3 linked regions of the Solanum lycopersicum genome follow. The protein of the gene in region 1 binds, or shares a complex with, the protein of each later gene. Links are inferred from orthologs where the notes say so. Each region holds a gene or a part of one and is shown in the gene's direction. Other genes may lie near its edges.

The links. Proteins that work in one complex are often made in the same cells at the same time.
Region 2: mediator of RNA polymerase II transcription subunit 16 (region 1) and mediator of RNA polymerase II transcription subunit 31 share a complex: the UniProt entries of both Arabidopsis thaliana proteins name them as parts of the mediator complex. The link is inferred for Solanum lycopersicum from reciprocal best matches to the Arabidopsis thaliana genes SFR6 and MED31.
Region 3: mediator of RNA polymerase II transcription subunit 16 (region 1) and mediator of RNA polymerase II transcription subunit 27 share a complex: the UniProt entries of both Arabidopsis thaliana proteins name them as parts of the mediator complex. The link is inferred for Solanum lycopersicum from reciprocal best matches to the Arabidopsis thaliana genes SFR6 and AT3G09180.

What each region holds. Positions count from the first base shown.
Region 1 is NC_090801.1:59,365,138-59,372,857, reverse strand, and holds the end of mediator of RNA polymerase II transcription subunit 16, read left to right. Parts: intron 1-358; coding exon 359-595; intron 596-752; coding exon 753-924; intron 925-1,030; coding exon 1,031-1,512; intron 1,513-1,630; coding exon of another isoform or gene 1,631-1,669; exon of another isoform or gene 1,670-2,894; intron 2,895-2,946; exon of another isoform or gene 2,947-3,106; intron 3,107-3,212; coding exon 3,213-3,389; intron 3,390-3,671; coding exon 3,672-4,040; intron 4,041-5,115; coding exon 5,116-5,262; 3' UTR 5,263-6,016; downstream 6,017-7,720. UniProt on the Arabidopsis thaliana protein: Component of the Mediator complex, a coactivator involved in the regulated transcription of nearly all RNA polymerase II-dependent genes.
Region 2 is NC_090802.1:52,518,304-52,526,462, reverse strand, and holds mediator of RNA polymerase II transcription subunit 31, read left to right. Parts: upstream 1-4,022; 5' UTR 4,023-4,176; coding exon 4,177-4,214; intron 4,215-4,298; coding exon 4,299-4,396; intron 4,397-4,585; coding exon 4,586-4,682; intron 4,683-4,847; coding exon 4,848-4,926; intron 4,927-5,316; coding exon 5,317-5,594; intron 5,595-5,748; coding exon 5,749-5,764; 3' UTR 5,765-5,815; intron 5,816-5,987; exon of another isoform or gene 5,988-6,731; intron 6,732-7,186; coding exon of another isoform or gene 7,187-7,190; 3' UTR 7,191-7,723; downstream 7,724-8,159. Other genes in the region: polyadenylate-binding protein 1, read left to right, coding at 2,550-2,595. UniProt on the Arabidopsis thaliana protein: Component of the Mediator complex, a coactivator involved in the regulated transcription of nearly all RNA polymerase II-dependent genes.
Region 3 is NC_090800.1:77,926,103-77,934,334, forward strand, and holds the start of mediator of RNA polymerase II transcription subunit 27, read left to right. Parts: upstream 1-4,095; 5' UTR 4,096-4,406; intron 4,407-8,099; 5' UTR 8,100-8,160; coding exon 8,161-8,232. UniProt on the Arabidopsis thaliana protein: Component of the Mediator complex, a coactivator involved in the regulated transcription of nearly all RNA polymerase II-dependent genes.

The sequences.
Region 1 (7,720 bases):
CTTGAGAGCATGAGGATCAAATTTGCTTAATTTAACATATGAATTACAACACTTCCTCTATTACGATAGATGGCAATGTAACTAATTTTTGTTTCTCTCGATCATATACTAGTCTAATAGTGTGTTGTGTGGAAGATTGTGTCTTTGTGTTTGTGTCATGTATGTACTTATCAGATATTGGATCATGTTTTTCTATCATTCAATCTGTGCATGCATACATACATACAAGTAGTTCTTGAATTTTAAAACTGTGTGTTTATTTCATGATTTCATCAAAGTTCATTCTCAGGAATGTATTATGAGTTCTCCTGTTCTTGGATATCGTTGAATGTTGATATATCTCATCCGTATAATGCAGAGTCTAGACAGGATAAAATGCAGGCTTCTAGAAGGTACAAATGCTCAAGAAGTCCGGGCAATGGTGCTTGACATGCAAGCAAGATTGTTGCTAGATATGCTTGGCAAGGGAATCGAATCAGCTTTAACAAACCCATCAGCATTGGTTCCGGAGCCATGGCAAGCTTCTAGCGAGACACTGTTTGGTATTGATCCTGAGGCGATGGCTGTTGAACCATCACTTGTGCCAAGTATCCAGGTATTTTCTTACACTTGTCCGATGTACCTCCACCCACTGGTTTCCCGCTATTGGATAGATGTCTTGGTGATCATCACCTTTCTGTATGTGTAACCAAGGACGTCTATTTCTGCGTTCAGTGTTTGAGTTTCTCAAGTATTGGGATGATTTAATTCAGGCATATGTAGATGCGATACTGGATCTGGCGTCTCATTTCATCACGCGCTTACGGCGCTATGCAAGTTTCTGCCGTACATTGGCTAGTCATGCTGTTACTGCAGGTACAGGTGGGAGTAGGAGTATGGTGACTAGTCCTACTCAAAGTGCTTCATCTCCTGCCACTTCCCAGGGTTAGTTTGTTTGCTTCTCTGTTATGTGCTGTTAAGGTATATCCCTTCCTGGATCCAAGAATCCACATCTCTTCTCTGAGCTAAACCAGGGGCCTCTTCTTTTCAGGTGCTCAGGGTGGTACTGCAAGTTCTGCTGGGAGCACTCAGATGCAAGCTTGGGTACAAGGAGCTATAGCAAAAATTAGCAGTACAGCCGACAGTGTTCCTAGTTCAGCCCCAAACCCCATCACTGGTCCTTCTACATTTATGCCGATAAGTATCAACACTGGCACTTTCCCTGGAACTCCGGCTGTTAGGCTTATAGGGGACTGCCATTTTCTTCATCGGCTATGTCAACTTCTGCATTTCTGTTTTTTCTTCCGTGGAACACAATTACCGCGTTTTATGGGGGCTGCTCAAAGGAATGCTGATTCTTCAATGCAAAAACCTCAGTCCGGTATTCCAGGCAAAACAGAAGATTCCAACTCTGGTGCAAAACCAACGCTAGGCGGTCAGGTTGGAACAGGAGCAAAGGGGTCTGAAGAAGGTCCATCTAAACGGTCTAGGATTGGTTCTGGAAATGCTGGTCAAGGATACACATATGAGGAGGTAAACTTTATAAACTATTAATTTACCAGTTGCTCTTGTTTCTCCTTGAACTGTTCTTTGTATTGGATTGCTATACTTTTATCACTCCATTTTAGAATAATTCTCAATTTCCATGTAGCACCAAATTGGTGGTTTCAGAATAGCCGGAGACTCCTAGTGGTATCCAAGTCTCAGAATTTGGTGCATTATGAGGGGCAGCAGACTGATGATTTAAGATATATTCCTCACTGTTGAAAACAAAAGAATTGCCTAGGTTTCTATTTGAAGTCACCCAAAAGTATGGCAAAAACACCCTTCTTTCTCAGCTGCCTGGATACTTCCAGAAGCTATTTTTTTTTCTTTGGCTGCATGGGTGAGGCCAACTACATGGGTCAGCTACGTGGCCTACTCAGATTTTTCCCTTTGCTCTTTTAACCAATTTTTCTTCAACTTTTGGTCTTCATGTCCAATTTTATCAAGTATTGGAAGCTATTCTAATCCTTATTCTCTTCAAAGGCTCCCAAAAATGGAATTATGTCATCCAAACCATTATTAGTCCATTAATCTTGCAAATGGGAATGAATTTATCATTAAAAGGTAGCATAAGTTGGCAAAGATGCCAACTTATCGCTGTCCAATGAACTGCACCAAGGAGTGGAAGAAACTTCCAATCAATGAAAGAGCAGATTCAAACTTAAACACCATTATATGCTGTGTAATGAGATTGCGAAGTTCACTTTCAAATCAGATTGGGAAAATTCATGGGAAAGAAATTCTTGAAGTTGGTTGGTTACTTGTTATGAGACAGCCAGGCTGTCCAGATGGGAAAGTCTCTGTCAAACAGGATCTTTTATATTCTCTAAATGGATTCTTCCACTGTTCTATCGAGCTGGTCGGAAACTTATTCTTGTTATGATATAGCAAGCAGGCTGATTATTCAGGTGAGGAGGTCCATGTTATCTCTAAATGTATTATTCAGTCGTCCTGTCTGAGAGATAAATGGACAGTAATAAATAACCACTATGGTTCAGCAGCTGATACAAATTATCAGAATGAAAAATATTTGAGAAACTTTTAGTGATTTTATCAGTTCATGAAGAGGAAAGAGCTAGTTCTCAATATTGAGTTAAGAAGCCAAAAAGAACTGGCTAAGAATCTGAACAAGAAATCTTGAGCTATCTAAGTCATGAAAGCAACAACTATGGGCAAGCTAGAAAATGATGAGAGCTCAAGAATGAATTTAATTTTTTTTGTCCCTTTACTTTATCTCTTTCTCTGATTTTCGAATGGTTATGTAGTGAATGAGAATCTTTTTCAGTTTAGTTGATCACTCTGACAACTCAATTTTAATTGCTAATGTAAGTATCTTACTTTGAGAAGTTTTGAATCAACAAGCTCTTCCTTATAGTCTTGTACTGTTATCTAATAATTGATATTTAGGCATTTTTTTTCTAGATTGTTGGTTATTGTCGAGGAATTATGAAATGGCTCATCGGTATGCATACTTATTTTCGAAGTTGTTGATTAGTCAAGGCCATACGTTTTGTGGATGTAAAGTTTCATATTGATGAAAGGAAGCCCTTGTGAGAAAGTAAAAAAATAATTGTTTTAGAAGGTAATGAAGTAGTGAAACGTGGATTTGGATGGCTATTGATATCTGGAAAGATGGCAGTGTTTCATCCTGTGGATAGAATATTGATTAATTTGATATTATATTGCAGGTGAAGGTCCTTTTTCTTATTCTGATGGATCTTTGTCGCCGGACTGCTGGTTTGGTACATCCGCTGCCAGTTTCTCAGGTTGGGAGCAACAACATTCAGGTCCGCCTTCATTATATTGATGGGAACTATACTGTATTGCCGGAAGTAGTTGAAGCTTCCCTGGGACCTCACATGCAGGTAGTTCACTTGAAGCTCCTTCCTAACATTCATAAACCTCATATCGGGTCATCCTTTTTCAATTATGTGCACTACAAGAAAATAAGATGTGAAAGAAAAATGTTTGTCGGGTGGGGGGAGTTCAGCTGTTTATATTTGTTGAGCTCATTGGGCCACTTTTGGTACTTCAAATCTCCTTGACAGGAAAAAGAACAGCAAACAACTTGAAAAAGACAACTCATGTAGGGATGGGTAGAAATCCCCATAATCCTTAGACACTTATCTCATTCCCCTTTCTTGCAGAATATGCCTAGGCCTAGAGGTGCAGATGCTGCTGGGCTGCTATTGCGTGAGTTAGAACTCCATCCACCTGCTGAGGAATGGCACAGGAGAAATATGTTTGGTGGACCTTGGTCTGATCCAGAAGATGTGGATGACAATTCTAAGCTTAGCCCATCAAGGGATTTGACACAGTACAGCTCATTAGAAAACTGTGATGTATATTATGGAGCTCATGGTTTGTGGCCTAGGAAACGCAGGATGTCTGAAAGAGATGCTGCTTTTGGGCTGAATACTTCAGTGGGGCTGGGTGCATATCTTGGTATAATGGGATCTCGACGAGATGTTGTGACAGCTGTTTGGAAGACTGGGCTTGAAGGGGTTTGGTACAAGGTTTGTCTGACTTTTGGATCTCTATATATCACTTGATTCAGTTTTTTGCTTTTATTCATTTTCTATGGCATCTCTTTGCATGAAGGCATAATGTTATAATTAAGCAAGTTGGATTGTGTATTGGAGAGAAATAACTAGGTCGGTGTCCCTAACGTGTGAACAACAGAAGTCAATCCTAACGTTTATTATGCACAAATTTAACTTGGATAAAGTCGACATATTTTTCTTGTTGAAATTATAACAAGATGTTATTTGAAATTGCTTTAATTCCTTCGTCTAAACAATGATCAATGTTTGTTTTGGTGTTGTGGTATTTTAGTTTCCCATATGTCTATGTATGCTATGACTTTCATTTCATTTCCAGAAAATGTCTAGGGATTTGCTCTCTTCATTCTGCATTTGAGTTGGGAGGTATTTTTATGTCATAAATGTTATATTTGCTACCTGTGTTGCACAAAAGTTTATTAATGATTTCCAAATGTTAACTCTTTCTATGGTGAGTGATTTTTAAATGCTAGGTTTATTAAGATCAAAAGGTTTTATTGTTCATTAAACAAATGATAATTGTTATATTTCAGTTTTCTACCCTCTATGTATGACACATGTATACAATCTAGTATTAGATTTTCATAGGTGCATATGTTTAATGCTGCAGAGGTCAACTTGTATGTTGGTGTTGAATCTACTTAATGTTGATCAGTTAATGGAAGTTAGTGTGTAGGCCACATCATGTGTTGTTTTGCTGATCGGTCCTTGGCTTTTCCGATGAAATAGTCAGTCAATCACTGTATTGTAACATCTGCCCAATGAGATAATTTGGGAAAAGCAAAACAAAGAAAAAAGCTTCACTCGAACTCTATTCTTCTTCCAGATTTAGTTTTAATTGCACTTGGCATTACTTTTCAATATAATTTTTTTTTTCTATTTAAGAGCAGATGGTTTGTAAACATAGTCTTATTCCTATAACTTTCGTTGCTGCAATGTCGATACTTCATTGATATAGAGTAGCACAACAGGAAATTTTGATCATAGTTTCAGTTTAGTTCTCAACTTACAGTGTTGACTTCTATTGCAGTGCATAAGATGTTTGAGACAGACTTCAGCTTTTGCTTCACCAGGTGGCAACCCTTCTGCCAATCAACATGAGAAGGAAGTATGGTGGATCAGCCGGTGGGCATGTGGCTGTCCCATGTGTGGTGGGACTTGGGTTAGAGTTGTATAGAGCATTGGAAGAGTGGGCATGTGGCTGTCCCATGTGTGGTGGGAGTTGGGTTAGAGTTGTATAGAGCATTGGAGTAGTTCACTAACAGTGGTTCTTCCAACTTCTGTGAACAGAAATGGTTCAGCACATGGAGACAAACACCTTTGACTCTGCCAGCTTATTGTGGATTTGTCACTCTGGTCATGTACTATACCTTAAAGATCAGTGTGAGTAGCGAGGCTGGTCCTGAAGTTGGGTAATTGGTATATTGTCTGATCTTACTTTCACTGGTATACGGAGAGAAGTTTCGGAAAGAAGTCAAGATGATTGAAACCCAGTTTTCTGGAAATGGTCATCAAATTTAGGAACTAAGAAAAAATCCACCCACTTGGACCAAGTTCTTTTGTCCAATGGGTTGAATATATTAGGTTTATCTTCCTAAACCAGAGTTTTTCTGGGGTTGTAGTTATGTATAATAATGACACACCTGTTGTTTATATGAGGGCAATCCCATTGCTCCAAGTAGACGTCAAGTAATCAGATTTGCTTCTGAAATGTCTCTCTCACCCTCCCCTGTTATTTCTGGTGACTATGGTTGCTGCGGTAGTTGTTGGTCTTAATAAATGAGTGGCAGGGTGTGTGGGTTGCCTTGGCTTGTTTTGCGTTGAAGGTCCTATACAAGTGTTTCTCTGTAATCCTCCTGGTTATACTTGTGCCAAATTGTCCTAGAGTCGACTAGCTCAGATATTGCAATAGTTTCTGGTTCAGTTTCTTAGACCGTGTCTCCTTGTGCTTGATTTCTTTGTGCGCTATTCTCTTGAGTTTTCCTCGGCGAGTAAAACCGATTCTATCTATTTATTAGTAAAATTGTAAGTGCCATTGGGTGGAATTTTTGCAAGATAACTTTATCTGTTTGAAACGTTATTGATGCATGAATTGTGAATAACCCAGATGGAATGAATGATGACTGGATTTGTAAATTATGTGCTTTGCTTCACTATCTTCGGTTACTTTAACAAAGAAGCCTATAGGACAAAATTAAAACTTTGAACTAATTAAGATGGTCTCTGGTTCAAATCGTAGTTTTCTGTCTCGTTTACTTCAATCTTTTAACAGTTCTGTTTCCTTAATTAAGAACCATGATTTATTAATGGGGAAGGACAAAGGGGTGTTAGTACAGTTGAAGTAAACCCTCCTAAATAAACAACGAAATTGTAGCATTAGCTATAGAGAACCAAATTAAAGATTGTTTGAACTCCTAGATCTAGATACCCACCTAACTTTTGCTGACGTTTCTACCACTTACAAAAGATGTTCATAGAGGCAAGACAGACTCTTGTCATAAGGAATAAGAAATAGGACGAAGACAATGAATGGAATGGTCCCAAAGTCACTAGAGAAGATTGAATGAGTCTTATCGAAGTTCCTATGGTAAATTGATAGCTTTTGGAAAAGAAAGGAAGGCGCTATTTCAATATGTAGAGGAACATCTAAAATAGAAATCATTGATTTTAAAAAGAATTTATTATTATAAGCCACAGCTGTAAGATTTATATCACTTCTCAAAACAGTCTCAATGTCAGTATGGAATGATATCATATATAAAACTTCCTGTTGGTACTTAAAGAATGAGATGGAAGTGTGACAAATGATATAATCTAACAAAGTATATATGAAGTCAACCTTCTTGTACAATTATCGATTATATTAATTCAAAAAGTACTCATATTGACCTGTTTAACAATTACTATTACAAAGAAAGAATGCGTAGAACATACAAGTGATATAATATAATTATTTTTACTGTTCTTCAACCATTACTATCTTCCTTCTACATTATATTGCAGGAATTTAAACCTTAAGACTTGCAAACTAGTACTTCTGAATGGTGTTATCGATGATTATTTCACAAAAGAACATCAAGTCCTCCTCTCCCACCCCTGCTTTGCATATACATCACAATCTTCTCTCTCAGCGATCACACGCTAAACCTGCAGCAAACAATGTAAAGCCAGATTCTTGAATACTCCCTTTCAAAAGTATTGGCCTTTTATTATCCCTTTGCCGGAAGATTAATCATGGATGATAAACGCTTCTATGTTGATTGCAATGACATTGGTGTTGAGTATCTAAATGTCCGAGTCAGTTGTCCAATGTCTGAAATTCTCAAACCTTGCTACAGATTCAGTGTACTCACAAGACTTGCCTTGGAGGACTCCTAGTTCATTCAACGACAGAAGGCCACTAGTGGTCCAATTAAGCCATTTTGATTATGGTGGCATAGCGGTCAGTGTATGCATATCACATAAGATTGTTGATGCATGTGTATCTCTAAGTTCCTCAATGATTATGCTGCTATAACTCGAGAGACTGATTTCAAACCATCTCCCAGTTTGATGTGAATTCTTTCTTCCTACTAATGGATGATCCTTCAGTATGCTGTGCCTGATGTTCAACGTGATCAGCATCAACCGCGTGT
Region 2 (8,159 bases), on another chromosome or scaffold:
CACCTTTTAGCACCTCCATATCCAACCAAAACCAAAGAAACAGGAAAGAAATTGCCCCATGTAATATATAAAAAACCACTCTAGCATTCTGAACCTGAATAATACATAAATATCCATGGAACCAAATGTCCAAGTGATGTAACTCTAATCCTCAGCTCTCGAAAAAGAGAAGTAGGAGGACGACCCAAGGGGAGTCTATTTTCTAATGTGATGATGCTTCTATTTTCTACCATCTTGTGCTCGAGAGAATCCCTCCCCTTGGGTCTTCTTCCTACTTCTCTTTTTTGAGAGTTGAGGATTTAAGTTTCTATCTCTTGAACTTTTGGTTCCATGGATATTTATGTTTTAGTCAGTTTCAGAATGCTAGAGTAGTACTGTATTATTTATTATATGGGGCGATTTCTTTTTCCTTTTGTTTTTGTCTGGGTATGGAGGTGTGCTTAAAGGTGTATCGAGATAGAAACAGTTTGTAGTACAATTTGCCACCCTAGATGCTGGATGAGCTACAAAATCATGAAAAAAAATGTCAAGGAATTTTCGACAGTATGTGACGAGTAGGGTCGGTGGTTTTGAATTTGGGGGAAAAGCTAAAAATGTGTAGCAAAAGAAAAGGAAAAAACTTACAACTTTGTCTCAGTCAATCTTGATCTATCTTTGAAGTACACTGTTAGGAATGCGTTGGAAGTCATTAATTAATTTATTTATTTAGTAGCTTTATTTATTATTCTAGAATAGGGTTTATATTTCTTTGTTTTATAAGGATTAGGTTAAGTTATAGTTATTAGTTTGGAATAAGAATTAGGTTACCTACTTTCATAAGAATTAGATTTCCTATTGATATAATAAGACTCCTATTTAAAGGGGCTTTTGATGAATAAATCAGTAAGTCATATTCAACAAAAATCAAGAGATCAGAGTTCTCTCTTCTAAGGTTTCAGTTCCCTTTAACGAGCTTGCCCTGTGAATTGATTCTTCCCTAAAGATTCATGACATACACCCTCCCCTTCTTTACCCCAACCCAACAAGAAGAGGCATCAAATTGTTTACTTGTCCAAAACGAAGTGGATCTTTGCTTGACCATTCTTTTGGGGCTAGACATCTTTGTCTGATCTCTAGGATCAGGATCAAAGAGGTGCTTGGGGCATATAGCTCAGAGCAGTTTCTTTCCTGACAATTAATATGATCCTGGCCTTCGTTACTTCAATAAACATTGGGCTAAAGCTCAGCTTATCTCCTTACTCTGCGAATTTCATTTAGGTACCAGTATCCTGTCAGTTTCAACTTCATAGATTTATCTATCACTCAATTTCTGAAGGAAGTCAAGTTGAAATTAATTGGTTGCCAACTTGGATACAGCCTACTCTGATGCCTTATGGGATCTGCACTTGCCACATATTCTACTTCAATACATGTTTGTTTGGCCTACACTGTTGCCCCTACATGAGCAGTAGTTCAGTGCTTCCTGCCTCCCAAATAAAATGGAATCTTGTGTTGTCTTTGGTTGGCTAGGTTTCTAGGCTTACACTTCCTTTAAACGAAGTAGGATTTTGGGTTTCTCGTAAAGCCAGAGCATGTGTCATGGTAATTGTGTTGATCTGAAATGGTAACTATTGTGTTTAATGTTCTTTCGAAGGGGTTACTTCTTTCTGTTGGTATTTTGACTAAATATTTCCTAAGCTTCTGGATTAGCAGCTCAGCTACTCAAACTAGTCTATTTTCAAGTTTATCAGTGTGCTACGGAAGATGAGCCTAGAGTCTCGTCTTATGATGGAAGGGTCTAGTCAGCAGTTCACTGAAATAAACTAGATGACTTATGTCTAATCCATTTTACACAATCACAGTTACCTATACCTATCTAAAATGCATCACTTGACTTTTTTTTTAAGACGTTGCATCACAACACAAGCAATGCATTCCGCGGCCGACTTTTTGTACTAGTCGTATGTGCCAAAATCAGCTGTTTTGTTTTTGCAACACTAATGCAAATGTTGGCAACAATGCTCCCTGTACTACTACCAGTTAAGTAATACAAAGTAAACCTTCAGAACTCCAAAAATAGGTGTTGTATCACTTAACTGTTAAATGAGGATAATTTAAAACTTACTTGTTGGGTATTTTGTTGCAGTAACACATGTCAACTTATATTGGTCCAACATAAGTTTTTTATAAGATTTGTTGAGTTGGATTTATTTCCTATTATCCTAACGAGTTCCCGATAGGCTGGTACTAATCGTTTTAATATCAAAGTGAACTTAAATTGGTGGGAATGCTTTTTATGCCCTTCAACAGAGAGCTGAACTTCCCTAGATTTAATGGAAGAATAAATTTTCAGATATTTGTTCATCTGGATTACAGTGTTCCTTCCTAAGTTGTCCTCCTTGACTCTTCACTTTTATAAGCTATAACTTAACAGTTGTGCAAATTTTACTCTCTTGTTTGATGTTCACTTTCGTTGTCATGTTTTGTCTTGACATAATTCAAGCTGATGCCTGCTTGATGATTACATCAAACTTTAGTTAACAAGTATTGTGTTGTCATCTTGTTTGCAGAAGGGTTCCAAGGTTCAGACGGTCCATCCGCTACAGGCCATACTAGTGAATTTTAAGCTGGATTGCAGCCTTCCCTAGAGAAGCATGGAGCTCGCTTTGTGAAAAGGGCATCTCCTTGTTTTACTCTCTTTGGTTGAGGGCAAAGGATGTTCTAATTCAAATAAGTCATTAGCTGACATAAATTTCAACTCTGTGGATGATGTTTTAGGTTCTGGGGATTGAGAATTTTTTTCTTTGCTAGCTTGCTCAGATGCTTGCATTTTGGGCAGCAAATGGAAAAGACAAATAAAATAGACAGTTTGTTGGAGATGGTCTGAATTATGTATGGTTGTGGTTTGGTCACTCTTAAGCTCCCCTCTCCTAAACCTCCTTATCCCCAACTTCAAATCCTAATAGCTACATGCAATAAGACCAATGGTGTTTAATTTTATTAAAGGACTATTTATTACTCCATGTTAGGGTAGATACAAAATGCTTTGGTATAGACAGAGATGAAGATTTTGTAGTGTATGGTAAAGCGTCTTGTTAATAGGAAAAAGCATGGACATACCAATTGAAGTAGTCCAAATTGGTAATTGTATAAAGGGTAAACAAATCTAAAATTTGGTTGGAAACATTGGTCATCGAAATATGATTTCGTAGTTGTAGGTCCAAAACCCCCAATTTCCATGCTCATTTTAGGCATGGTATTATGCACCTCTCTTTCATGACACATATATTCAGTTGTGGCCCGTAGACATGTTTCTTTGAGAAATAACCGAAACAGAGTCAACTTGAATTCAAGCTTATAAATATCAAAAGTGATATAAGATTTTTATTCCAAACCAAAATCATGAAGGTTGCATCCAAAATCGCCCTTTTTTTTTTAACCCCTTGGACTAAAATCACAATTTTCACATTTATATAACTACGAATTTAAGCTTAAAAATTCATGCATACTAATAAAAAACTGGTCAAAACTTAGATATAAAGCGCGCAAGCGAGACTCAAAAACGTGTTGAGGGCTTCGCGTCGCTTTATGTGCACTTTAGTGTCTTCACCAATGTTCTAAGGCAAACGTCACCTTACCAATGAGCCTCTTATGAGACAGTGAAGTTAAATCACTGATATTTCACTTTGTCATAATTATTTTCAATTTCTTTGATCATATATTTGACATATTCATGTTTATAGTTATTAGTTTTGGACTAAACATGCATACTTATACTCTTTTCCTCCCTTTGCGTCTTTTTTCATCAAAGCTTACATTTTATTTGCGCTTAAATTCCCCATGGATCGTAAGAGCTTTTTTGCGCTTTTCATCTTTAGTAACACTGGTATAATCACATATGAGAATTATGACTTCACTTAAAAAAAAGATTTCTAACCATTTCAATCTGATCGACTGTATAATCTAGGTGAGTAAATGAATCTAATGACACACTCATATTGAGCAAATAAAAATTAGGATCAAAATCAAATACAAGATGTCATTTTAACACTGAAATTTTATTTCAATATGAATTTAATCCATTTTTACATTACATCTTAAAAATGCAATGAATTTCAGACTTTCCTTTTGTATATATAGCGCAGCAATACAATCAACGGCTAACTTTGAAAAGTAGAATTAGTTAGGGTTTAGCGCATGGCTTCTACATCGAATCCAGAAACCCATGAATCACCGTAAGCAGAATCAATTCATCTCAAATCAATTTGCATCTTCGCAAATTCACATTAATCAACTGTTTTTTCTGTTCCAATTTGCAGGCAGAAAAGCGTCTATAAAGATCCCGATGATGGGCGCCAACGTTTCTTACTCGAACTCGAATTTGTTCAATGCCTTGCTAACCCAACTTACATTCACTGTATCTATCTATCTATTCCCTTCTCTTATTTAAACATGATGTTTTCTGGGTATTTACCAATTATTGTTAGTTTTATGTTATATATGTTGTTGGTGTGAAAATGAATATTGGGTTGCAAAAGCTTCAATTTTTCTATCCCTTTTTCATTTTTTGTTTTGTTTTGTGGACTTTGTATTGATTCTGATGCAGATTTGGCTCAGAACAGATATTTTGAAGATGAAGCTTTTATTGGGTACTTGAAGTACCTTCAGTACTGGCAACGACCTGAGTACATAAAGTTTATAATGTAAGTTAGTTTATAGTATTAATATGTGATAATAGTTATGTATGTTCTTTCTACTGCAACTTTTTAGATGCAGTGGATGATGGTCCTTGTTCCTTTTCTGTTTCCTGTGGACTATGGATATCGTTAACTAATCGTATTGGTTTTCCTTTCTTGATGTTAATGCAGGTATCCACACTGCCTATTCTTTCTCGAGCTTCTCCAAAATCCAACATTTCGTAATGCAATGGCTCATCCTGCTAACAAGGTAAAAAGTTATGTCATGTGTTGTCCTGGTTTCCTTCTCCACTTTTGCTATACTCTTTAGTTAGTTAAGACTGTCAGCCACTATAAAGAAGGTTCACCCCACTTTCTGTAAACACAGTTTCTATGGACTAAAAATGCTGCCAAAACACTTTATAATACATGGTACTTCATTGTCTTAGCCATTAGCCTTATTTCCATTTCTGAACTTTCCCGTAGTTTCTAGGCATAAAACTTATAATTATTTAATCGTGTTGTCGAGGTTAATTCTCGCCCCGAGGACATCTCATCTCATTTCACTGTTTATTATTTATTGCACTTTGTTTGCCAACCTAAAGTTCTGGCACATAAATCTGTGATAGGATCTGATCTACATGTTTGTAACAACTATTAGGAAGTAGCACATAGGCAGCAATTTTACTTCTGGAAGAACTACAGAAATAACCGGTTGAAACATATTTTGCCGCGGCCGCTTCCTGAGCCTGCAACTGCACCAAGTTCTGCTCCACCTGCATCACTACCATCAAGTGTAGCCCCTCCAACTGCTCCACCTCCTGCTCCTACACCTGTTACAGCTGCAGCTCTTTCCCCGATGCAGTATGCCATCCCTCCTGGATCTGGTCTTGCTAAAACGGACCCAAGGAATGCTTCTGTTGATCGAAGAAAGAGAAAGTATTTCCTCTCCTCTTTTACTTTTCTCTTACTGTGAAAACTTTGTCAATGCTTGTTGTTGCATGCTCCCTCTTGTTATGATTTTATATTTTAGGGTTAGATTTGTGACGTAATGTTTCTGAAATGGTTATTGACTTGGATAATTTTGTTTTAGCAGGAAAGACGGATAATTTTATTTTACTCATAGCACAGACCTCCTATCAACTAATTTATGAATTAAGGTAATACATTTTGCACCCCATGATTTCATTTTTCGAATAGGTGTTGCAGTTCCTCATTGGCAAACACATTAATGAAATCCTATTAAGAGTGTGATTTGTTGTTTATTGAATTTTAGAGTCCTTCCCAAGTCTCAAGCATGATCAATGACCTGTACTTTCTTTCTCATGTCAGAAAACATAGTGCTAAAGTTTTGCGAGAGATCAACTACACATTTGTTGGGTTCACTAGGATCAAATTTCTTTAAGAAATAAATGTAGAACTAATTTTATTCCCAAACCAAGTAACCAAAACAGAAAGGAAGCAGCCTGCCTTTGAACTCTTTTGGGATGCCCTCGTTTGTGGTTTCAATTGCTTAATTTTTTAGGCTTAGCTCAGACATCTGGTGATAGGTGACTGGAAGATTGCCAATGCACACTTATAGCAGTAATGGGTTATCAATGGAGTGAAGAATTCGAATCACCATATTGACATGTGAACTTCAGATTTTGATGATAAATGAAGGAGCAACTTCTCTAGTGTGGTCTAAGTATATGAACCTTTGCCTATAATCTATGGTAAATGGGAGGAGTATTTATGGTCTTTGATGCACTTCACTTGGGCAAGGTTACGGTCCCTCTCCTCGGCTAGCCTGTACGAATTCCTATAATCACCTTTGCCTTTGTAGTTATTCTTTCCCCTTCGACTGTTCCAATTCCGTGTCCTCAAAGTTGCAGGTACTGACTCTCAAGGGCCTACTGTCTTTCCAGAAAACTAACAAAAGAGGAACTTTATCCATTTGGCTTGAATTGGGTGGTGTGACACTTAAGAATCGGTACAACCTAGATCTATAGACCTGAAATTAAGTGCAGCACACAAAATTATATTAGCTGTATCACTTTCATTAACGGAATTCCAAGGATTTCATGTTATCACTCATCTCTTTTCTCGTTTTGGTCAAGTGAAGTGCTTCCCCATATATATTTATGAGTTTCAGTTTGAAACTATGCCGTGTGTCCTTTTCTCGACAAGATGTACTCTTTCCTATTTACTTAACACATAGTTCTCCAATGTAAAATCAAGTATTGTGCTTATACTTTATTCTGGTTGGTCAAATTGACCTAATTGCGACTTTGTGACGACTCATTAAACTTATATATGCTTAAGCGGAAAATTGGGTAATACTCCTATTGAGCATATGATGTGTTTCTTCCATTATCTTGATAATGTCAGTTCTTTAAATTTAAGAATGGCTTTTGGGTTCTATAGGAGCATTACACTGAACATATTACTTTGTGTTAAAATATTCTGATTATGCGTTGGTTCTTTAATCATCCTATAAAAGCTATGTTGCATCCTATTTGTGGAATCTAATTTCACAACCACACTTGTAGGTGATCATCCCTGGAATTAGACTACATCCTATGTTTAGAAAAGAAGTCAACCCTGTTTAATTGCTGATTGCAGTTTCAATAATGGAGCTTGGCAGTTGTATACTGCAATCTGGTGCACCCCAAAACAAAACAAAATTAGAAATTTTAGTTCTTCCTGCAGGCAATCACTCATCAGCTTACTCTTGCTGTCACCTGTTGTGCTGCTGAAGCTGATAGTAGTTCATGTGGTAGTTTAAGGAGCTAAACCTTGGAATTGTAATACCATCGAAACACCCATTTCTCTTCTCTCATGCTGGAGAAATGCATGCCAGCCAGCAATAGCTTATTATTGAGTAGGCCCAGTGTGCTACTACTTTAGTCTAATGAAGTCCTTGAATATGGTTTCTCATCCCTTATATGGAACTTTGAGGTAATATTATGTTGATGGTTTCTGGTGCAGTACAATTGAATTACAAGTGTTCTCTTGACAATGTTAATCTGGACAGCAAATATGGGTTAACCTGTTTGCAACCCATAATAAAACGTGTTATATACGGATTGAACGCGTGTCGAAGACAATTTAGAAATTTCTTGGTTTATCTGGTAGATGTAAGCGATAATACTGCATTCTAGAGTATTTGACTCGGATATGAGATGGTTTCTCCCTTTTCACTAGGAAAATTATACTTCACAAAGCAAAGGCTGGGTTTTAACTTTTACATATATCCACTCCTTTGTTCTTGTGGATAGTATCTCTACTTGTTTAAGTTGTTTACATGGATATGTCACATGGTTGACTCAGTTTGTGGTTTGATGTGGTTTTTGGTTCGATTTTGTTCACCTGATGGATAAAAACAACTAGCATTGTGCAATGCAAACTAAATCTTTTAGATACAACTGATGGAACTTTTGCGGTGGGAAGAGTTTTTCTTGTTGGGATGAGGCACAAGTACCTCCTAAACTTATTTTAATTTTAATTGGCATATATGAGACT
Region 3 (8,232 bases), on another chromosome or scaffold:
GCATGTGCCTCTGCTTTTAGCAGGTTTTTGCTCTCTTCTAACAGCTGAAGAATCAAAACACATAGAACTGCCTTGATGATTGAATACTGGTGGCTGACTTGAGCTTGATGGTCTACTAAAAAGTGGTGGCTGACTTGAGCTTGATGGTTGGCTAAAAAGAGGTAGCTGGCTTGAGCTTGATGGTTGGCTAAACAATGGTGGCTGGCTTGAGCTTGATGGTTGGCTAGACAATGGTGGCTGGCTTGAGCTTGGTTTCCTGTTTGGGTAACCTCCAGGTTGTCCCATTTCAGCCTATTAATACAGTAATAATAATTGATTATTGTAAATAATTGAAGCTTATTGTAAATGTATTAGAAGAGAACAATAACTTACCAATGTTGGACAAGATTTTTTGTTGTGACCTACTTGATGACACAATGAACATGTCATTTTTACTCCTCTTTTGGATAATTTTCCATACTTTTTTCTAGGCTCATTCTTTGCTTTTCTTCTGCACTTTGGTGGCCTACCAGGCATGACTTTTGGTTCAGGAGGTTCAATCACTACACCACTAGTGTGGGGCCACATTTTCATGTTTGGTATTGGCTGTAGAAAATGATTATAAGCCTTCAAAAAAGTCTCTTTCCTATACCAATGTACCACTTCATGTTCAGGTTCTATGCCTTTGTGCTGATATGCAAGCACAACATGTTGACATAGTATGCCCTTCAATTGCCATGTTCTGCATGTACATGTCTTCTTTCTTATATCAACAATATGTCTGTATTGACCATCTAAGATTTCATATCCAATATCACCATTGAATCTAACTTCACAAAATCTAGCAAGATCTTTGTTCTCTTCTAGTACTAGTCCATAGGAGAGATATCTGAGATCCAAGTTTCAGCAAATTGCCTCATTGCAATATTTCTGTCCATTATCTTGTGCCTAATCTCCTCTAGCATAGTTATGATAGCCTTATGTCTAGCAACTAGTATCCAAGAATTAAAAGTTTCACACATATTGTTTTCAACAATGTCACACTTAGAATGCTCTTTAAAATATGCTTTGCACCAAGTAGTTTTTTCATAATGCAACAAGTCCTCACAAATTTTATTACCTAATTTGTTGAGTTTATCCATCTCATCTTCAAATTTCACTTCAAAACTTGACTTAGCACATCTCCAGAACTGTTTCCTTTTTTCTTCACCACTCCATAATTGATGCCAGTTGGACCAGATATGTCTAGCACTCCTTCTCTGCTCACTATCTGGTAGCAACTCACATAAAGCTGGTACAAGGCCCTATGTAAGCAGTTGTAGCACAAACATTAAAAAGTATTAGCAACACAAGAAAAAAAAATAATAGAACAATAGTCAGTCCATGTTCTATGCCTAAGTTCAAATCTTCTATCAAGTACTTGAGAAAAAAACTCCAACTATGTTTTGTCTCTGTGTCAACAACAGCCCATGCGATTGGAAACATCTGGTGATTTCCATTTCTACCAACAGCAACCAACAATTCTCCCTTGCAAGAACCCTTCAGAAAACATCCATCAAAACCAATAATTTTTCTGCATCCTTCCAACCACCCCCTCTTCAATGCATCAAAGCAAACATAGAAGTAAACAAACAAAGTTTTTCCTGGCTGAGACTCTCTATCTGTCCTCACCCAACAGGAAGTACCAGGATTAGTATGTTTAATCATGTCTGCATAATCACACAATCTTGAAAATTCCATCTTCCAATCACCTAAGAACTCCTTGATAATCCTTTTTTTTGCCCTATGACAAACAATTCTTCCAACATATAACCCAAATTTTTTTCTCACCAATTCCTGAATTTTCCATAATCTTATATATGGTTGACAGGTTATTTCATCCTTGAACTTTTCTGCAACAAACTTAGATGTACACAACTTGTTCTTGGTCGATTGAGGACATACATGCACAGGATAATAATTTTTGACAACAAAATCACCAGAATCTTTATCTATACTAGCAAACAGCAACCATTTACATTTCTTGTCCTCACATTTAACTCTAACTCTTTTTTTGTCATTAGGCTTCAATTTTAACCTAGTTTTATATTGACAAGAATAGTCTGCAACAGCTTTTCTAAATTGTTCAGCACTTTCAAACACCATACCAAGCTAAAAAATTGCTACAACACAATCAGGATCAAATCTTACCTTTTTACTTTTTCTTGTTCTTGGTAAATCAACACCCTTCACAAATTCTGAATCAAATTCATCCCTACTGTCTTCACTGTCCAATTCTGAGCTATCTATATATTGCTCATCACCCCCTAGTATTCCAGTGTATCTAGCAGTCTTATTCCTTCATATGTCTTCAAAGCCTCTATCAACACCAGCTGTTCCAAGCTTTATTTCCTCAGTTTGACTAGGTTTTTTCTTTTTCACTTTGTTTCTCCTTTCATTTCTAAGAGATCTTAATTCTTCATCAACCTCAGAGTCATCCACATTAGGAATAGCATCCTCTTGAGAGTCATCACTACTTTCTTCATTTGATTCAGTCCATTCCACATCTAGATCTGATATATCTCCTGGCTCAACTTCCACATTAACATTTTCAGATTCAGCCTCATGATTCAACCCTTCACTTGCAGTCACATTTATATCTTCTAAGTCTTCTTCAACGACAGACCCACAAAGCAAACCTGTTGTGACCACTTCTACATCATCCACCACATGCTTTACATAAATGTCTAAAAAGTCACCATCTTTTAGGTCTTTGATGAGATTTACTAATGTTAAATCAATGTCCACCTCAATAAAGCCATTTTTGTGGGGTCTTTAACACAGAACCCACCAACAATAATATACCCCAATTGTTTAGTGTAAAAAAGTAACTCAATTATTGAGAAGTGGTCCTTGTCGATATTAACATATTCCACCTCGACTTTCCCTTTATAAGTAATTCCAGTTTTGTCCTGAATAAACTTACCACCATGATGAAAACGAGTTATAATAATGGCGTCCATAAGATTCCCTGAAACAAGGCTCCAAATTTTTCTGACAGTTATGAACAATAAAAACCAAAAAACCCTAACTTTATCTAGATATTAACAACAACAACCACATTGATACTAAAACCCAGTATATATCAATAAAAACCACAGGATAAACACATATATTAAAAACACACAACCACAACAACATGCTCGTCACTTACCTCACACTCGTCAACTCGAAAATCGCGAATGAACTCCAAAATCGTCTGCAATCTTCGATGATTCCTTCAACAAAACACTCGAAATCACTTTAAAATCTAAGAATTTCAGTTGTAAAAGTCATTGAAAAGGAGAGATTCTTAGGGTTTTCTCGTTTAGAAACGGGTTAAAAGTGATTTGGGGGGGAATTGATTTTTAGGTTTGATGACATAATATGTGGCACTGACGTGTAATTGGGTTGGAGTGTATTGGTCAAAATTTCCACGTGGGGAAGGTTCATCTCACGCGCCTAATTACCAAAAATAATTTATTGAAATTTGACTCCACATCAGCCAAAAATATTTAAAAGGATCAAATTATAGGGGGTTAAAGGATTTATAGGAATCTTGGTTAGTTGAGGTACCTGGGGGAAAAGCGCGAACAACTTTAGGGACCTGCGTATGTATTTGGCCTATTTTTTTTCTTCAAAAATCTTGTATGTATTTATTTTAATATATATTTTATTTGTATTTCTATTTATTATAGTTTTTATTTAGAATTTTGTATAATAATATATAAAACACAAAAAAATTAGTATGATGAAAAAGTGAATGAAATAAAAAATTGAAAAGAAATAATTAAATATTTGGTGTACTCATTCTTAAATAAAATACATAACAGTTGACATACCTTTAGAATAAATACAAATTACAAAAAAAAAAGTCAAATTCAGAAACAATGCAATATAATTTTTGAATGAATACAACTATTAATTGTAAAAATTGACTAATATTATTAAAATATGGATATTATCACTAAATAAGTTGATTTTTTTGACTAGTTAGCTAAATTTCCCTTTTTATTTTTGCTAAAAAAAGACTCCAAGGACATGAGTCTCTCACTTGGGCCCAACATTCAAAACCAAATCCGGCCCAAAACCATGACTGACCCGCCCCACACTATTTCTTCAGACCCCCACGCGCCCCTCTTCTCCATTCAGACCTAAATCGCAGCATCCCTAAAAGACGAAGAACCCTAGTTCGGTGCGGCATCTCTTCATACACTACGCCGTGATTGGCACAATTTCTTGTACCGCTCAAAGATTTTAGAAACTCTTCGATGGTATTGTGTTGTAATTTACCAGAAACTGTGCCTCACTGCGAGTCTACGACCAGCGACATTGCCTGACTTTCACGATTTCTATTGACGGCTTTGCAATCTATCAGCATCTCAGTCTTTTCTTCCAAGTTTCAACTGGTAAGTTTTAATTTTCTGAATTTTAGTGCGACGATTTATGAGTTCCATAAAAATATACTGATTTCTGTTCATCTAGCAAAGTGACCTGTATTGTCATGAGACCTGATATGAATATTTTGTTAGATTGTTTCTATGCAGAAGTTGATATGCACCCGCAGTTAATAGATCTTTGGCAAAACTTTCACTTTTCAATGGTGGCAATACACAGTGATATAGGATGACTTTTAGTTTAGGGAGTGTTATCTTAGAATCACATTAGAACTATCAAGTCAAAATTAGCTCCATTAGGCTTTATTTTTTTTGGTTATTTGACAAGTCACAAGAAGGCTAAAAAAGCCTTGAAAGTTCTTGAGCCTTGGTGAAGAATTGTTTAAGCATTTAATAACTCATTTGTTTACTCCTGCTGACATAACAAGTGTCTGAGGAAATTCATTGTCCCCTTCTTGTTGCTTAGAATGAGTAAGCAGGTTACGTGGCCATACACATTTTTTAACTTGAACTGCTAATTGTTCGATAATCTGATAACTGGTGGCCTCTTCCTACTTTGAACAGCTCAGTTTACCCCCAAAAAATAATGCATTGCATGGGAATCAACCTCTTCAGGCTGCATACTCTAGGGATAGACATCAATTGGTCTGATCTCAAAGTGCATTGGAGCAAACACCTCTATACAATTGTATAACCATTTTTGGTTTCTACTTGGATCAGAAAGTTTGATGTATTTTATTTTCTTTAAATGTTGGACACCAAGAAGTCATGCAAACAGCAACCTATTAGTTTGTTTCTCCTTGGTATCCTACAAGTTGTGGCGATTCAAAGTCCCCTACTTTTTCCTTTCATGAGAATGTAGGCTACGATAACCGGACATCTCTATTCAGTTATCTTTACAGAAGCTACTAATCTATGATAAACTAAACTTGTTGCCTCTATTTTGCTCGTTATGTCCTTCATGCGGCTCTGAGAAATTTGATTGCCTTTTATTTTCTTTAAGCGTTGGACACCAAGAAGACATGCAGACAACAACCTATTAGTTTGTTTCTACTTGGTGTCCTACAAGTTGTGGAAATTCAAAGTCCCCTACTTTCTCATTCTCATGAGAATGTAGGCTACGATAACCCTACATCTCTATTCAGCTATCTGTGTGGAAGGTACTTATCTATGATATAGTGAACTTCTTGCCTCTCTTTTGCCTCTTTAAGAGATACAGCCTTCATGTGGTTCAGGGAAGTTTCATTGGCTTTTATTTTCTTTAAACGCCGGACACGAAGAAGACATGGAAACAGCAACATATTAGTTTGTTTCTCCTTGGTATCCTATATGTTGTGGGTATTCTAAGTCCCCTACTTTCTCCTTCTCATGAGAATGTGGGCTACGATAACCCTACATTTTTATACGGTTAACTTTACAGAACCTACTAATCTATGATATTTTAACCTAGCTGCCTTTTCTTTTGCCATCTACCTCAAGAGTTCCTTCATCTGGTTGACGAAATGTCTTTAGTTTGTTTAGGTGTCGGACTCCAAGAAGACTTGCAACGAATAAACTATTAGTTTGTTTCTCCATGGTATTCTACATATTTTGATGATTCATAGTCCCTTAATTGCTAGCTGTCTTTTCTTTTGCCAGTTCCTTCATCTGGTTGACGAAATGTCTTTAGTTTGTTTGAGCGTCGGACACCAAGGAGACTTGCAACAAATAAACTATTAGTTTGTTTCTACATATTTTGATGATTCCTAGTCCCTTACTTTTTATTCGGAAGTTTTAAGCTCTGATCATTTATGCTTTTGGCCTCAACCTGAAAAACCATTACACATTATCTCATCCCTTGCGTTCTATATAGCTAACAATTAGCATTCACTTGTTGGAAAGAGAATGAGGAATTTGCTGATTGGGAGCTGTATTGTTGGAAAGTATGAAGTTTTGATAGACTAAAAGATAGAACCACAGTTGTATTAGATGGGAAGAGCTGTTTCTATAGCAGGAATTTGAGTTATTCTTTTATAGAGTAATTGTGCTGAAAGTCTGTCCATTAGAAAGGCTTGTGCATTTCTTTGTTATGTTGGAAATGATACTGAGTATGTTTTCTATTGTGATTCTTTCTAGTCTTCTGTGAATACTTCTCTCTTTCTACTTTTCTTTGTAGTTGTTTCGTCCTCCCAGAAACTTAGGTTTCTATCTCTTCTAATGCATTTTCCTCTTTGGTTGTCCACGATCCACTTTCTTGTTTTTATTGTTTCACAATTATTTTGACATGAATACTATAGTTCTCCAGATGTGTACTGGTTTTTTGGTTTTGGGCTTTTGGCTTCCATTTTAGGATTTTAATTTTTTTTGAAACAATTACCATGTTTTTATTTGGTCAACTGATAGTTTCCCTGTTTATTATTAAACATACAAGAACTGACTTACAAAGTTGAAATCTTTCCAATCTACATAGTCGAAGACACCTTGGCTTTATTTTTGCACAGCAGTTTTCCAACTTTTGAAGATAATCTTCCACAAAGAGCAATTGGATGGGGTGAAAAGGCTTGATAGAAAAAGGATGGAGTGGAAAGGATAATTGTATATGGCACGTTCTCTTCCCTTTATGGAAGAAGTTGGCTGTATAGGTTAACGGCAATATATTTATCAAACTACTGAAGTAGAAGCTACATATTTTGTGTCTTAACATAAAAGACTTTCCTGAATCTGAAAGCATTGGAACTTCAAAGTCATTATTCCCATCCCCCATCCCCCATTCCTACCTTTTCTTGATAGAAGAGGGAAATCCACTACCTGTCACTTAAACTATATATATGCACTTAACAGACTTTGCTGTGCTTGCATGTCAAGATGGATAGATCACATCGAAACCCCTAAAGTCTGAAAAAAAATGATGACAGAAAATATTGAGTGATGGTTTCTTATATCCAATTGTCCTACAAAATTTTTCTGTTGAATATATTCCTCCTTCAATGTGGAAAAGGAGGTTATAATCACACGTACATCCTCTTAGTGTGTCGCTGTATAATTTTGTGAAATATGGAATAGCTGTAGAGACTCTTCTCTTTTTTTCAATTTGTGGGTCCTTTGTTCATACAATACAATTGGACAAAAAAGGAATGCAAAAAATACCAAGTGATTGTTTGTTGTATCCTGTTGTCCTACAGCATATGAGTGATGAACAGTCTCCTTCTTTAGAGTGGAAAAGGAGGCTACAGTTACTCAGACAACCTCTTTACATGTTGCTATAATTATCTATATGGAATAGCTGTAAAAATCCTTTGCCCCCTCATTCTGGGGGTATATTGTCCGAGCTGTACAGTTGGACAAAAAATACAGAGTGATTGTTTGCTGTATCAAGTTGTCCTATAAAGTTGAGTGATGAACGGTCTCCTTCTTCAAAGTGGAAAAGGAGGCTACAATCATTCGTACGTCCTCTTAGCTTGAGGTTCTGGTTCATTTTTGCTTTCCTTCGCTACTTTATGTACTTGTTCCTTGTTTTATGGGGTTCTTGGTAGGATTTTAATTCTGAAGCACGATAGTAGATATCACTTGCATGTTTAAAGCTAGGTGATGTCAAAATGAGTTTGTTGAGGTGACCGTTGAGACTTTGGAAATATGATGTGATGAATTGTTGTTATTGAACCGTCTTTTATGGTTACTGGTTGAGGTGGACTCTCACTCAGTTCTTTTTTCCAAAAATGAAAACAGCACCTCATCCACGGAGCATAATTGCCAATAATAAAACCTCCCAAGGTTCAGACTTGCATAAATGCAGCAATCAACACTATCATCACACACGTCGGCGGTACAAGGAGCTTCAGCTGCGGAGTCCAATGAGATG